2 linked regions of the Elephas maximus indicus genome follow. The protein of the gene in region 1 interacts with the protein of each later gene in a pairwise test. Links are inferred from orthologs where the notes say so. Each region holds a gene or a part of one and is shown on either strand. Other genes may lie near its edges.

Region 1 (7,789 bases):
ACGGATGTGCGACTGGGGGCCAGGTGGGGGCTGCGCTAGCAGTCAGATTGAGGCTTTGCACACCTCCAGGCACAGGGCAGGGCAGCGGGGGGAGGGGTGCACAGCAGCAGGGAGAAGTGGCTGTGGGGACCAGGCAGGGAGCAGCTGTGCAGGTGCCTGGTGCATGGCTGGCAGTGGCAGACCCTGGCTGCCCCACTCTGCTGGTGCAGCTGCTACAGCCACCTGGACCAGGAGCAAAGCAGCCTCAGCAGGTTTGCTGGGAGCGAACAGCTGCGTGGCTGCTGGGCCTGTGAATGGCCAGGAGGAGGGGAAGGAGATGAAGGAGGAAGCTCTTCTGGGATTGAGATGCACCCTGGAGCTCTCCAGCTCATTTACTCTGGGAGTCTGGGGTCTTTAAAACCATTAGGAGGAAATAATAAACAAAAGGAGAGCTGCTTTCCCTTAAAAAAAAAAAAAACCCTTATGGGGCCATGAATGCATATGCAGTCGGACATTGCCCAAATGGATGTTATACAGCACATGACTGCATATAATTTTAAATATTCTTCTATAAAACAAAGGCATCTGACTGTGTAGATAATAACAAAAATGGATAAGATTTCAAAGAATGGGAATTCCAAAACACTTAATCATGCTCATGAATGACCAAGAGGCGGTCATTCAAACAGAACAAGAGGATACTACATGGTTTAAAATCAGGAAAGGTGTGCAGCAGGCAGGGCCAGATTAAGGCATGTGAGGACCCTAAACACGGATAATCTGTGGTGCCTCCTCCTCTGCTTATTCACACATTCCAAAGGGATATATGAGTTATATATACACATTACACATGTGTGTGTCTCAGCTATCTATGATGTAATTTCTTTTTAAACGTGACTATAACATTTGCGATTGAAAGCAAAGGTGATGTATGCCATTTTAGTGGAATGAGATGAACTGTAGCTTTTGTCAATTTCATTTAGTTCCCTGCCAGTTCCCTTCCACTGCAGTGGTCACTCTTCCTGTGTCCCGTCTGCTTGGCATCTATAGGTCTTTGCTTTGGGCAAATGGTGCCTCTGTTTCTTGTTGCCCTCAGCACGTGTTTACCTTGCTTATTGGGTAGTCCATCCCTGGTATCAGGGTTGTATCCTTTCACTGTACTTATTCAACCTGTATGCTGGCAAATAATCTGAGAAGCTGGACTATATGAAGAAGAACATGGCAGCGGGATTGGAGGAAGACTCATTAACAACCTGTGATACGCTGAAGGCACAACTTTGCTTGCTGAAAGCAAGAGAACTTGAAGCACTTACTGACGAAGATCAGAGACTACAGCCTTCAGTATGGATTACACCTCAACATAAAGAAAACAAAAATCCTCACAAGTGGGCCAATAAGCAACATCATGATAAATGGAGAAAATATTTTAAAGTTGTCAAGGATTTCTTTTAACTCAGCGCCACAATCAATGTCCATGGAAGCAGCAGTCAAGAAATGAAACAATGTATTGCACTGGGCAAATTGCAAAAGACCTCTTCAAAGCAATAAAAAGCAAAGATGTCACTTTGAGGACATGACCCAAGCCATGGTATTTTCAATCACCTCATATACATGCAAAAGCTGAACAATGAATAAAGGAGACAAGAAGAAATGATGCCCTTGAATTACAGTGTTGGCAAAAAATATTGAAAATACCAAGGACTGCCAGAAGAACAAAAAAAACCTGTCTTAGAAGAACTACAGCCAAAATGGTGCTTAGAAGCAAGGATGGCTAGAGTTCATCTCACATACTTTGGACATGTTATCAGGAGGGACCAGTTCCTGGAAAAGGACATCATGCTTGGTAAAGTAGAGGGTCAGCAAAAAAGAGGAAGACCCTCAGTGAGAGGGACTGACACAGTGGCTGCAACAATGGGCCCAAACATAGCAATGACTGTGAGGATAGTGCAAGACCGGGCAGTGTCTCATTCCTATGAGTAGGAACCAACCCAACAGCACCCAACAGCAACAACAAAACATGGACTGCCAGAAGAATGAATAAACTTTGGAAGAAGTACAGCCAGAATGTTCCCTAGAAGGGAGGATGGTGAGACTTTGTCTCACATACTTTGTACATGTTATCAGGAGAGACCAGTCCTTGAAGGACATCATGCTTGATAAAGTAGGAACCAAAAACACCAAACCCATTGCTGTCGAGTCAATTCTGATTCATAATGACCCTACAGGGCAGAGTACAACTGCCCCATAGGGTTTCCAAGGGGTGGCTGTTGGATCTGAACTGCTAACTTTTTGGTTAGCAGCCAAGCTCTTAACCACTATGCCATCAGGGCTTGGTAAAGTAGAGGTCAACAAAAAAGAGGAAGACCCTCAATGAGATGGATTGACACACCGGCTGCAACAATAGGTTCAAATGCTGCAACAATTGTTAGGATGGTGTAGGACCAAGCAATGTTATTGTTCTGTTGCACACAGGGTCACTATGGGTCAGAACCGACTCAATGGCGCCCAACGACAACAGAAAGCAAAGAAAGGATGATATACCCTCCCCGTGGCAACAGGGGTAGGGAAGAGTGTTTAGACATATTGGCTTTTTAGATGACTTAATTTACTTTATTGCCATTTCCTTCTTCCTTTTAACCTTGCCACCCAAACTGGTGGCAAACAATATACATTCATTCATTCAACAAACATTTTAGTGTATAAACGTCAGGGTCTGGACTAGGTGTTGATGATGCAAAAAGATGAACTAGACAGAAACCTTGCCCTTAGGAAGTCAAACTTTAATGGAGTCAGAGACACTATATTACTGAGCACTGTCTTCCTACTAGGTACAACATGCTGAGGATACAGTAGAGAATACCAAAAAAAAAAAAAAAAAACCCAAATCCATGGCTGACAAGTCAGTTTCAACACATGGCTTCCCCATGTGCTACAGAGAAATAAGCTCCATAGGGTTTCCTTGGCCCTAATCTTTATGGAAACCCTGGTGGTGTAGTGATTAAGAGCTATGTCTGCTAACCAAAAAGGTCGGCAGTTCAAATCAACCAGGCACTCTTTGGAAACTCTATGGGGCGATTCTTCTCTGTCCTATAGGGTCGCTATGGGCCGGACTCAACAGCAATAGGTTTGGTTTTTCTTTTTTTTTAATCTTTACAGAGCCCTGGTGGTGTAGTAGAAACCCTGGTGGTGTAGTGACTAAGAGCTATGGCTGCAAACCAAAAGGTTGGCAGTTCAAATCCATCAGGAGCTCCTTGTAAACCCTATGGGGCAGTTATACCCTGTCCTATAGGGTTGCTATAAGTCCGAATTGACTCAACAGCAATGTATGTGGTGTGTGTGGTGGTGGTGGTGCAGTGGTTAAAAGCTTGGCTGCTAATCAAAAGATTGGCAGTTCAAATCCACCAGCTGCTCCTTGGAAGCCCTACGGGTCAGCTCTACTCTGTTCTATAACACTGGGTTTGATTTTTTGGTTTGGTTTGGAATCTTTACAGAAGCTGATCGTCAGGCCTTTCTTTCAAGGCACCACTGGGTGGGTTTGAACTGGCATCCTTTTGGTTCGTGGCCAACCTCAAAACGTTTGGGCCACCCAAGAGCCTTAGGTACTACAGTAAAACCAAACACCAAACCCCTTGCAGTTGAGTTGATTCCAACTCATAGCAACACTACAGGACAGAGTAGAACTGCCCCACAGTGTTTCCAAGGATCTGAACCAGCCCAGTGCTGTCGAGTCAATTCTGACTCATAGTGACCCTATACGACAGGGCAGAACTGCCCCATAGAGTTTCCAAGGAGCACCTGGTGGATTCGAACTGCCGGCCCTTTGGTTACCAGCCATAGCACTTAAACACTACACCACACTAGGTTTAGGTTTTACAGTGTATTAAGTGATGTATCAGACACATGTGTGGAGGGCTGAGGGGGAGGCCCTAAACCCACCCTGGGAGTCAGAAATAATTTCACAAATTAGGTAACACTTCATCTGAGTCTAAAGGGATGTGTAGAAATACACTAGGTAGCTCAAAGTTGGTTATAGTAAGCAGCAGGTTCCAAAGGATATTTTTATAGAGACAAAAAGAATAGCAACCTCACAAGTTAGGAGTCACAGATTGCAGGCTTCAGGAGGGCTGTGGTTTTTGTCTCTTTTACGGAGCACAGTTCTACTGACACACGTGGGGTCACCATGAGCAGGAATCCAATCAATGGCAAGCGATTTGGGTTTTTCTGGTATTCTCTCTTGTACCCCCCGCCCCCTGAGCCTTGAAAATGTCTGGCACATAACAGGCTCTCAGTAAGTAATTGTTGAATGAATACAAGGCCATCATGTGTTCAAGAAATGACATGGCCCACAGTCCATTATCTCTACAAAGGCAGGCAAGGGCCGCATCAGGAACAGGTAAATCGACACATCACTGTCGGAGTCCAAGCGTACCGCGCCACAGACGCACAGAATGGTAGGAGCGCCAGTTATAGACACGCCAAAGCAGGGCTCTCCGACCAAAGCTGGACCGAAGCACATGGTTTGGGCTGGAAGTCTAAGTGGAGCCTCCCAAACTCCTGCTTCCACCCCAATCTCCCCTTCTCCTGGCCAGGCTTCACGGTTGACTCCCAGAGGGCCGCCTTCCCGGCCTCCCACCGCCCTACGGAAGGAATCGCCCTGCGCGCTCCAGACCGCAGGGACGCAGAGAGAGCGCACGCGCGCCTCCCAGTGCTGAGCGCGTGCCCGCGAGCTCCCCGCATCCCCGTGCTCATCCGGGCCTCAGCGAGCCTCAGCCAATAGTGGCCGCTCACGGCCCCCGGGGGCGGAGCCAAGCCTTCCCTCACATGGGGCCTGTGGTCATCGCTGGCGCCTGTGGGGACCGCGACCAGACGGCCGAGGAAAGGGCCAGAGGCAGGGATCCCAGCACTGGGGCGAGGATCTACAGTCTGGAGCTGCTGCTGCTCTCCGGAAGTGATCGAAACACGAGAAGATTCCTCAGCCAGAGCCGGTGTAGTAAACACACTTCAGAAACGTGAGGTGCCGGTGGTCACGTGGGGAGTGTGCTCGCCAATGAGGAGCCGGGGGCGGGGCCGAGGCCGCTGACGCGTCGGCGGCGGCGGCGGCGGAATCACCCGGGCAGCCTCGGGACTGGTCACTGGCCGGCAACCGTCCAGCGTCCTCGACCACCGCCTTCGTCCTCGTTCGTTTGTCCCGGGCCGCGAGGCAGAGTTCCTGACAGTGGCCGAATCCTCTCTCATTTCTCTGGGTGACTCACCTGCGCCGGGCCGTTTTCTCCTCGAGGGCAGCCTTGGTGGGGCGAGGCTTCCGTGACGAACCTTCTGGGGCCGCCTTTGCCTTCTCGGGCCGTCGTGGCGGCTCGCGCTCCTGGAACTTGCTCACCCTCGGGGGTTCCGAGGCCGTCGAAGTTATGCGTCTCCTCCAGGCGGTTGAGGCCTGCGCCGGGTCCTAAAGGGCGTCACACCCGGGCTGGGCAGCCTCCATTCATCTTCCAACTGCGCCTCCAGCGCCCTCTCCTTCGCACGTCCCCTCCTCGGATTCATTTTTTCCTGTCCCCCCTCTGCCGCCCTTTCTTACTCCTTGGGCTTGGCGATTCTCCTGGAAGCGAAGGGGTCGGCTATGAGCCGGACCTTGCTTGCTTGAAATTCTCTCTGGAGGAACTCGGCGCTGACCCGCTGGCCGCCGGGATGGGGGTGAACGCCGTGCACTGGTTCCGAAAGGGGCTCCGGCTGCACGACAACCCCGCCCTGAAGGAGTGCATTCAGGGCGCCGACACCATCCGCTGCGTCTACATCCTCGACCCCTGGTTCGCCGGCTCGTCTAACGTGGGGATCAACAGGTGGCGGTGAGTCCATCCCCCGAGTGGCGTTAATGTGTGTTTGGTCACTCAGGACCTTCTCTGCGATCGGCCAAGTCTGAGAAATTTAGCCCTGGGAGCGCCTTGCTTGTAACGTTTAAGAACTGTAGCTGTTTCATGTAAACATCCAGGGGAATTGGCTAGAGAGTGTTGACCAGCTGGGACCCCTTGGCCTTCAGCTGTGAGTGGTAATAGAAGCTCTGCCCTCGAATTTATGGAGAATTCTTAGTGGTGGAGCTAAAGAAACACTCTTTTCATCCTTAATGGCCTGTGGGTTGATTTCGTTGCCCTCTGTGTGGTGTTCGAAAGGATTGTGGCTTTTAATATTTACGTTTGTGTGAATATAGGTAAATAACAACGACAACAAAAAAAACCCGTTGCTGTCGAGTCGAATCCGACTTATAGCGACCCTATTGGACGGGGTAGAACTGCCCCATAGGGTTTCCAAGGAGCGGCTGGTGGATTCGAACTGCTGACCTTTTGGTTAGCAGCCGAGCTGTTAACCACTGCACCACCAGGGCTCCAAGGTAGCTGTTAGTATTGAGAAAATCATTCCTTTAAACTACCAAACCAAAAAAAAAAAAAAAAACCTATTGTTGTCTAGTCCAATCTGACTAATAGTGACCCTATAGGACGGGTAGAGCTGCCCAACAGAGTTTTCAAGAACATCCAGATGGATTTGAACTGCCGACCTTTTGGTTAGCAGCGGTAGCACTTAACCACTACGCCACCAGGGTTTTCAAGTCCAGTTTTCTTCCACCTTGAGGCAACCATAGGAAAAGCAAGGAAGCAGCATTTTCTCGTTTCCTTTGCTCAGCTCCTCCCAACTCCTCCTTGTGGCTGAGGAGACAAAGCACACTTTTTCTTTCTAGGCGAAGTATAATCCTTCTAGGGATCAGAGAACTGGGAGAAATCTTAGAGAAGCTTGATGATCTTTTCCTGGAATACCAGGCTAGGTGATTTGTTAGGCTCCCTGATAGACATGAAATAATTCATGCAAACATTATTGATCACCTGTCATACGCCAGGTACTGCTTTAAATGCTAGCGGTATAACAGTAAGAAAAATAGACTAAAATTTCTGTCCTCTTTGAGTTTATGTCCCTGGAAATAAAATACATAGTATTTTAGGTGATGGTAAGTGTCGTGGAGAAAAACAGAGCAGAGAAAAGGTTTAAGGAATACGGAGTTGGGGATGCAATTTAAAATGTGATCAGGGAAAAGCTCACAGGTTCGCTCAAAGGTGGCATTTGAGCAAACACTTGAACCCAAAAACACCCAAACCCACGGCCATCAAGTCGATTCCAACTCATAGCGACCCTACAGGACAGAGTAGAACTGCCCCGTGAGTTTCCAAGGAGCGCCTGGTGGATTCGAATTGCCGACCTTTTTGGTTAGCAGCCGTAGCACTTAACCACTACGCCACCAGGGTTTCCAAAAAGAGGTGATGAAATATGAATATCCAGGGGGAAGAGCATTCCAGGCAGAGGGAACACTAAAGGAAAAGGCCCTGAGGTGGAAATGTGACCTTTGAGGAACAGCAGAAGAAGCCAATATGATTTCAGAACAGAATAAGTGAGGGGAAAAGTAGTAGGAGAAGAAGCCAGAGATATGATAGGACCAATTGAGTAGAACTTTGTAGACAGTTGTTAAGATTTGGGCTTTTACTCTGGGTGAAATAGGAATAATTGCAGGGTTGTGAGCAGAGAAGTGATGTCATCTGACTTAAGATTGAAAACAATTTCTCTGGCTGTGGTTCTGAGAATAGACTGAACTGAGGGTAAAGGGGTAGAGGTGGACAAAAAGCCGGGAGACCAGTTAGGAGCTGTTGCACTCATCCAGGTGAGCGACGATAATGGCTTGGTCCATGGTGATAATGGTGATGTGGTGAGAAGTTGTTGAGAGGAGTTGGAGACAACTCACATAGACAGCTCTTGATTTCAAGGGGTTTTGCTCTAA
Region 2 (7,140 bases), on another chromosome or scaffold:
AGCGAGCCCCACCTCCCCCTTCAGACTCTGCACCTTCAGAGACAAGGCCCGGCTCCTCTCGCAGACCCTACACCTTCGGGGGCAGCCAGGCCCACCTCCTCCCTCAGACTGTGCCCCTTCAGAGCCAGCTAGCCCCACCTCCCCGCTCAGACCCTGTACTTGAAGGGTCAAACACTGCCTATCTTCTCAAATCCTACATCTTCAAGGGAACAGCCAGCCTCACCTCCCACCTTAGACCCTGCACCTTTAGAGCCTGACCCAGCAGGCACTGTGCTGCCCAGGAGCTTGCAACCCATTTCCTGTTCCCTTAAATCTGTGCCCTCTACCCCATCTGAGAAATGCCGAGCATGTTCTTCCCTTTGGTTTTCTAACTCCAGGTCTTTGAACAAGTCATTATAATAGTTTGTCTTCTCGAGTCACCCTTTGAAATCTCTGTTTAGCTCTTTTACTTCATCATTTCTTCCTTTTGCTTTAGCTACTCTAAGTTTAAGAGCAAGTTTCAGAGTCTCTTCTGACACCCATTTTGGTCTTTTCTTTTCTATCTTTTTGATGAACTCTTGCTTTCTTCACGTATGATGTCCTTGATGTCATCTCACAACTCATTTGGTCTTCAGTCGTTAGTGTTCAATACATCAACTCTAATCTATTCTTGAGATGGTCTTTAAATTGAGGTGGGATGGGTATACTCGAAATCATACTTTGGTTCCCATGGACTTGTTCTAATTTTCTTCAACTTCAAGTTGAGCTTGTATAGCAGCAATTGATAGCCTGTTCTGACTGATGATACTGAGCTTTTCATCGTCTCTTTCCTCAGATGTAGTTGATTTGATTCCTGTGTATTCCATCTGGTGAGGTCCACGTGGATAGTCACCATTTATGTTGTTGAGAAAAGGTATTTGCAATGAAGTCATTGGTACTGCAAAATTCTATCACGCAATCTCCATTGTCATTTCTATCACCAAGGCCATATTTTCCAACTACCGATCCTTCTTCTTTGTTTCCAACTTTTGCATTCTAATCTCCAGTAATTATCAGTGCATCCTGATTGCATGTTTGATCAATTTCAGACTGCAGAAGCTGGTAAAAATCTTCAATTTCTTCATCTTTGGCCTTAGTGGTTAGTGCATAAATTTGAATATTAATTGTAATAAGTGGTCTTCCTTGTAGGTGTGTGGATATTATCCTATCACTGAGAGCGTTGTACTTCAGGATAGATCTTGAAATGGTCTTTTTGATGATGAACATGACACTATTCTGGAAGAAAATATTCAAGACACAAGTTGCAATATTGAAGGATTCTATGGGGAAAATACTAAACAATGCAGGAAGCATCAGAAGAAGATGGAAAGAATACATAGAGTCACTATACCAAAAAAAAAAAAAAAAACTGGTCAGTATTCAACCATTTCAGGAGGTAGTATATGATCAAGAACTGATGGTACCGAAGAAAGAGGTTCAAGCTGCACTGAAGGCATTGGCAAAAAGCAAGGCTCTGGGAATTGACAGAATACCAGTTGAGATGTTTCAACAAACAGGTGCAGTGCTGGAAGTGCTCACTCGTCTATGCCAAGAAATTTAGAAGACAGCTACCTGGCCAACCAACTGGAAGAGATCCATATTTGTACCCATTTCAAAGAAAGATGATTCAACCGAGTTCAGAAATTATTGAACAATATCATTAATACCACAGAAAACTAAAATTTTGTTGGCGATCATTAAAAACCAGTTGCAGCAATACACCAAGAGGGAACTGCCAGAAATTCAAGCCAGATTCAGAAGAGGATGTGGAACCAGGGATATCACTGCTGCTGTCAGATGAATCCTGACTGAAAGCAGAGAATACCAGAAAGATGTTTACCTGTGTTTTATTGACTATGCAGAGGCATTCAGCTGTGTGGATCATAACAAATTATGGATAACATTGCGAAGAATTGGAATTCCAGAACACCTAATTGTGCACATGAGAAACCTGTACGTAGATCAAAAGGCAGTTGTTCAAACAGAACAAGGGGATACTGAGTGGTTTAAAGTCAGGAAAGGCGTGCATCAGGGTTGTATCCTCTCACCATACTTACTCAATCTGTATGCTGAGCAAATAATCTGAGAAGCTGGACTATATGAAGAAGAACGGGGCATCAGGATTGGAGGAAGGGTCGTTAACAACCTACATTACCCAGATGACACAACCTTGCTTGGTGAAAGTGAAGAGGACTTGAAGCACTTACTGATGAAGATCAAAGACCACACAGCCTTCAATATGGATTACACCTCAACATAAAACAAAAATCCTCCCAACTGAACCAATAAGCAACATCACGACAAAGGGAGAAAAGATTGATGTCAAGGATTTCATTTTACTTGGATCCACGATCAATGCCCATGGAAGCAGCAGTAAAGGAATCAAATGACACATCGCATTGGGCAAATTTGCTGCAAAAGATGTCTTTAAAGTGTTAAAAGGCAAAGATGTCACTTTAAGGACCAAGGTGCGCCTGACCCGAGCCATGGTGTTCTCAATCACCTTATATCATGTGACAGCTGGACAATGAGTAAGGAAAACTGAGGAGGAAGAAGAATCGATGCCTTTGGATCATGGAGTTGGCAAAGAATATTGGATATACTGTGGACTTCCAGAAGAAGGAACAAATCTCTCCTGGAAGAAGTACAGCCCAAATACTTCCTAGAAGCAAAGATGGCAAGACTTTCTCTCATACTCTTTGTACATGTCATCAGGAAGGATCAGTCCCTGGAGAAGGACATCATGCTTGGTAGAGTAGAAGGTCATGAAAAAGAGGAAGACCCTCAACGAGCTGGATCGACACAGTGGCTACAACAATGGGATCAAGCATAACAGTGATTGTGAGGATGGTGCAAGACCAGGAGATGTTTAATTCTGTTGTGCAAGGGGTCACTATGAGCTGGAATCAACTTGGATGGCACCTCTAAACAACGATAACTGCATCTGAGCAGGTCTGCTCTCTCCACGGACACTTCAGACAGGGTTGGGGCCTTAAGAGGCCCCAAACAACTTTACCAAAAGAGAAAATGGTCTCAGCAAAGGTGCTCAGGGTCCAGAGCCGCCTCCCGGAATGACCCCACCCGTGGCTCCGGTGTCTCTGGAACTCGCCTTTCAGGAAGGCCCCCCTTTTGCAAACATCTCCCCGGTCCTACTCACACTTGGGTGCTGCTTCCGTCGTGGAGCCTCTGCGGGGAGCTCCGGCCCTGTGATTTATAACCTACATCACCCAGTTTAGCATTTGAGTTTCCCTTTTCACAGTGGGTGGGTCTTGCCTCCCTAATGATGTGGTTGGAACAGTGATATCATTCATTGATTAATTTATACCTCCCCGTGGTAACAATGATCGTATTTCCTGAGCCAAAAATTGTGACACATGGTCTCGAAAGCAAAAAAGGCGTCTGAAAGCGGACCATCCTGGGGATCTGGGACAAGTGTCGAGCACCTGCACCTCGGTAGTGGGCGGCCTGCAACCCGAGAGCCTCCCTCCGCCTGGGCAGCCTGGGCAGGATCAGCGACGCAGGGAGCGAGGGAGCGGAAGGCTGAATGGGAACCAGCGACTAAATGGGCACGCGCGTCTGAATGGGAGCGAGTCCACGGGTGGCACCGGCTGAATGAACGGGAGGGGTGACCGAGCGATTTCCGCAGGGAGGCTTTGGCCGCCGGGCCGCGCCTCTGGCCGGCCCCCCAGGTGGCGGCCTCCCCGGGCCTGGGCTTCGGCGGCGCACCGTCTCCCGGCAGAGGCGCGCCCCAGCCGCCAGCGCTGCGCTCGTCGCCCCGGACCCGGAGCTGCGGCCCGGCGCCCCCGCCCCGCAGTGGTACGCGCCACTCCGCGCTCCCCGGCCGCCCGGCGCGCGGCGTCCTGAATGGAAAGGCGGAAGTGGAAGGGACCACTGGGGAGGGCGCAGAGGGGGGCCCGTGCGCGCCGCGTCCTCATTGAGAACCGACGCGGGGAACATGGAGTTCCATGTGCGTCTTATGTAAAGAGAGCGGCAGGCGCCGCAGCCAATGGGCGCGCGCTGCTCGCCGGCCCCGCCCCCTCGGGTATGCAGATGAGGCGGCGTCGTGGCCAATGGCAGGCGCGGGGGCGGGCCGGCGCGCGCGGTCACGTTTTCCACTATGTGACAGCGGCGGCCGGTGAGCCCAGGCGGGGGCTGCGGAGAAGCTGCCGGGCGGACGGACGGACGGACGGACGGCGGCGGGACGGGGACGCGGGGCGCCTCGGTGAGTGCGGCCGGGGGTGCGGCGGCGCCGGCAGGTGGCGGGCGCTCTCGGCAGCCGGGCTCGCGCTTACGTAACTGCCTGCCGGGCGCGGGTGGGTCTGGGGTCGGCGCTCGGGGGGGTCTGGGGTCGGCGCTCGGGAGGGTCTGGGGTCGGCGCTCGGGAGGGTCTGGGGTCGGCGCTCGGGAGGGTCTGGGGTCGGCCCACCGGCTCTGGGATCGGCGCTTGGGAGGGTCTGGGGTCAGCCCCCCGGGTCTGGGGTGGGCGCTCAGGCGGATCTGGGGTAGGAGCTCGGGTGGGTCTGGAGTCTGCGCTCTGAGTCTGGTGTCCGCTGCCCGGGCCCGGGGTCGGCGCTCGGGTGGCGCTGGGGTCCGCGTCCCGGGTCTAGAGTTGGCGCTTGGTCGGGGCTGGGGTCCACGCGCGAATCTGGGGTCTGCGGTCGAGAGGGTCTGGGATCCAAGCGGGCGGCGGCGCCCGGCTGCCTTCCTCAGCCCCCCGCCACGGGCACGCGAACCCCTAGTGTTCTGGGAAATTTGAATGCTCCGAGCTTGCAAACGGTGAAGACGGCGCTGGGGTGGGGAGTGTGCAGAGGAAATTCAGTCTATTCTGATACTAACGGATATCAGGACTGAGCGTGTGCCGGCGCTGTGTATTTGCTAAGGCAAACCTTGCGGAGACTCTGCGCGGTGGGTACTCTTGTCCCCATTTTACAGGTCAAGAAACTGAGCTTCAAAGAGGTTAGGTGGCATTTCTTTCATGAAAACCCCTGGGCCTTCAGTGGGGAGAGGACCTGGAAGGCCAAGGCCACACCAAGGGCCGCTGCTGTCACTGGGCACATGGAGAGCCCTTTTGGAAGCCAGCTTCCCCCTCTGAGGCCAGACAAGTCTCAGGCCACTGATGGGGGCAATGGCCAATCACCCACTGTAGCAAGGCCACTGGTCTTCCAGCTGGAAAATCCCTGTGCCAGGCCAGGCCTAGGAACCCTGACAGCGGGGAGTCTCGATGATGCTCAGCCCCTTTGCCAACCCTGGTCCCCCAGGTCAATTTCTTTTCCCCAGGGCAGGTAGAAGGGGGGCTGCCCAGGCTGGTCTCTACTTTGTGGTGGGGCAGTCACACCATGTGCTGGGATGCCCCTTGGCTGCCAAGCCCCAGGGCCCAGACAGGGGTGGGCGGCAGTCTGCTTCCCTCCAGGAAGGCAGAGCAAAGGATAACAACTTGATTGCCAGGGTTTCTGTAACGACACAGAGGGAACCAGCTTGGAAAGCTGATTCATACGCACAGAGTGGCAGAGCCAGAAGGTACCTGGGAATCATCCAGGGCTTCACAGATGAGGAAACCGAGAGCCAGACATGTGCTGGAAACACACTGTCGTGGGGGGCGGTGGGGGGAGGGTGCCAGGGCAATGTCTCCAGGTCTTTCCATCACACCTAAGGGTCTTGATCTGGGTCAGGCTGAGTCTGAACACCTGAAACTGGGCCAGGGTTTGGAAGGAAGGGCCTTAGGTCCCCCAAGTGTTCAGACCCTAGCACCGTGGCAGAGCTCTGTCTGTGAACACTTCTCTTCCCCACCCTACCTCCCGGTTCCTAGGGGGAGATGCCCTGCCCCACCGCACCTGGGCTTTCTGGTCCAGGACTGGGTTTGCCTGCGAAGGGAAACAGGATGAAGGCTGCAATTAGAAACTGAGTTTTAAATCCAAGTCTAGTCGCTTAGGTAAGGTGTATTCGTGAAAAGAGGAGAGGAGTCCTTTTTTTTTTTTTTTTAAGTAGAAGCTGTGTGAACTGCCACTGAAGGATGGGTGCCGTGGGTGTTCTGCCAGCTTGGAAGTCACCCACCACTGTAATCTCCTGTGATTCACCAGTAAAGAGCAAAGTCAGGGCTCTGGGAGATGAGGGGGTTGGAGCCATTGGCAGGAGGTGGGAGCCTGGCCACTACCCAGGTGGCAGTGCTTGGCGAATCCACCCCACCCCCACCTCCCTGCTCCTGCCCCCCACCTCTAGGTCTCAGCTACCTGTCTGTGTATATTCCTGGAATAAGTGCTCTCCAAGGTGCGTTTCAGCTCCCAGGTGCTGGGATCCCTGTTCCTGTTACTGAAGGTTTTCCCGGGCACTATGCAGGAGGGAAGGAGCTTTTTTTTTTTTTATGCAGGAGGGAAGGAGCCCTGGTGGTGCAGTGGTTAAAGAGCTCGGCAGCCAACTGAAAGGTTGGCGATTGGAACCAACCACCTGCTCAAAGAGAAAAAGATGTGGCAGTCTGCTTCCATAAAGATTACAGCCTCAGAAACCCTATGGGGCAGCTCTAGTCTGTCCTACAGGGTCGCTATGAGTCGGAATCGGAATCAACTCGAGGGCAGTGGGTTTGGGTTTTGGATGCCGGAGGGAGTGGTTTCTGACGTGCTTATGCCTGTGTGTGGCTTGGGAGGCGTGTCTCAAATAGGAGGGTGCCCCTCGCGTGCACTGTTTTTGATGCACATGTTTGGGACAGTTGTGGGAGGCACGCATCTGTCTTTAACTCTCTAGCTGCTATTGGGTTAATGGTATGCCAACCACTTTTTATGCCCCTGGATCTCGTAGGTAGTAGGTTAGTCTGCTTCTAACCCATTTAGTGTCAATGTGGGTCCCTTTTGAAATACACGAAGCTCAGCGGACCCAAGTTGGAGCCTCATTGTTGTGCAGGTTGAACATTCTATTAGGTGACGCTTCATGGATGTGTTAGTTCTATAAACTGTTGCCTTTTTTCCCCCTTTATTTCTGTGAGATAAGACTTGCAAGCATAATTATGGCTTTCCTGTGTGATAGTTAGGGAGCCCGGATGGGTTTGTTTTGGTTTTTCTGGGTCATCTTTGGAAAACCAGAGGTTCCCCATGTAACCTAATGGAAAGGTGCCCTCAGTAATTCTCTGTTTAG

The links. The genes of interacting proteins can lie anywhere in the genome.
Region 2: the proteins of CRY1 (region 1) and PER2 interact in a two-hybrid assay, tested with the Homo sapiens proteins (5 studies listed by BioGRID, with this or other methods). The link is inferred for Elephas maximus indicus from reciprocal best matches to the Homo sapiens genes CRY1 and PER2.

The regions. Positions count from the first base shown.
Region 1 is NC_064822.1:174,245,416-174,253,204, reverse strand, and holds the start of CRY1 (cryptochrome-1), read left to right. Parts: upstream 1-4,789; 5' UTR 4,790-5,661; coding exon 5,662-5,819; intron 5,820-7,789.
Region 2 is NC_064824.1:140,372,765-140,379,904, reverse strand, and holds the start of PER2 (period circadian protein homolog 2), read left to right. Parts: upstream 1-4,131; 5' UTR 4,132-4,240; intron 4,241-7,140. UniProt on the Homo sapiens protein: Transcriptional repressor which forms a core component of the circadian clock.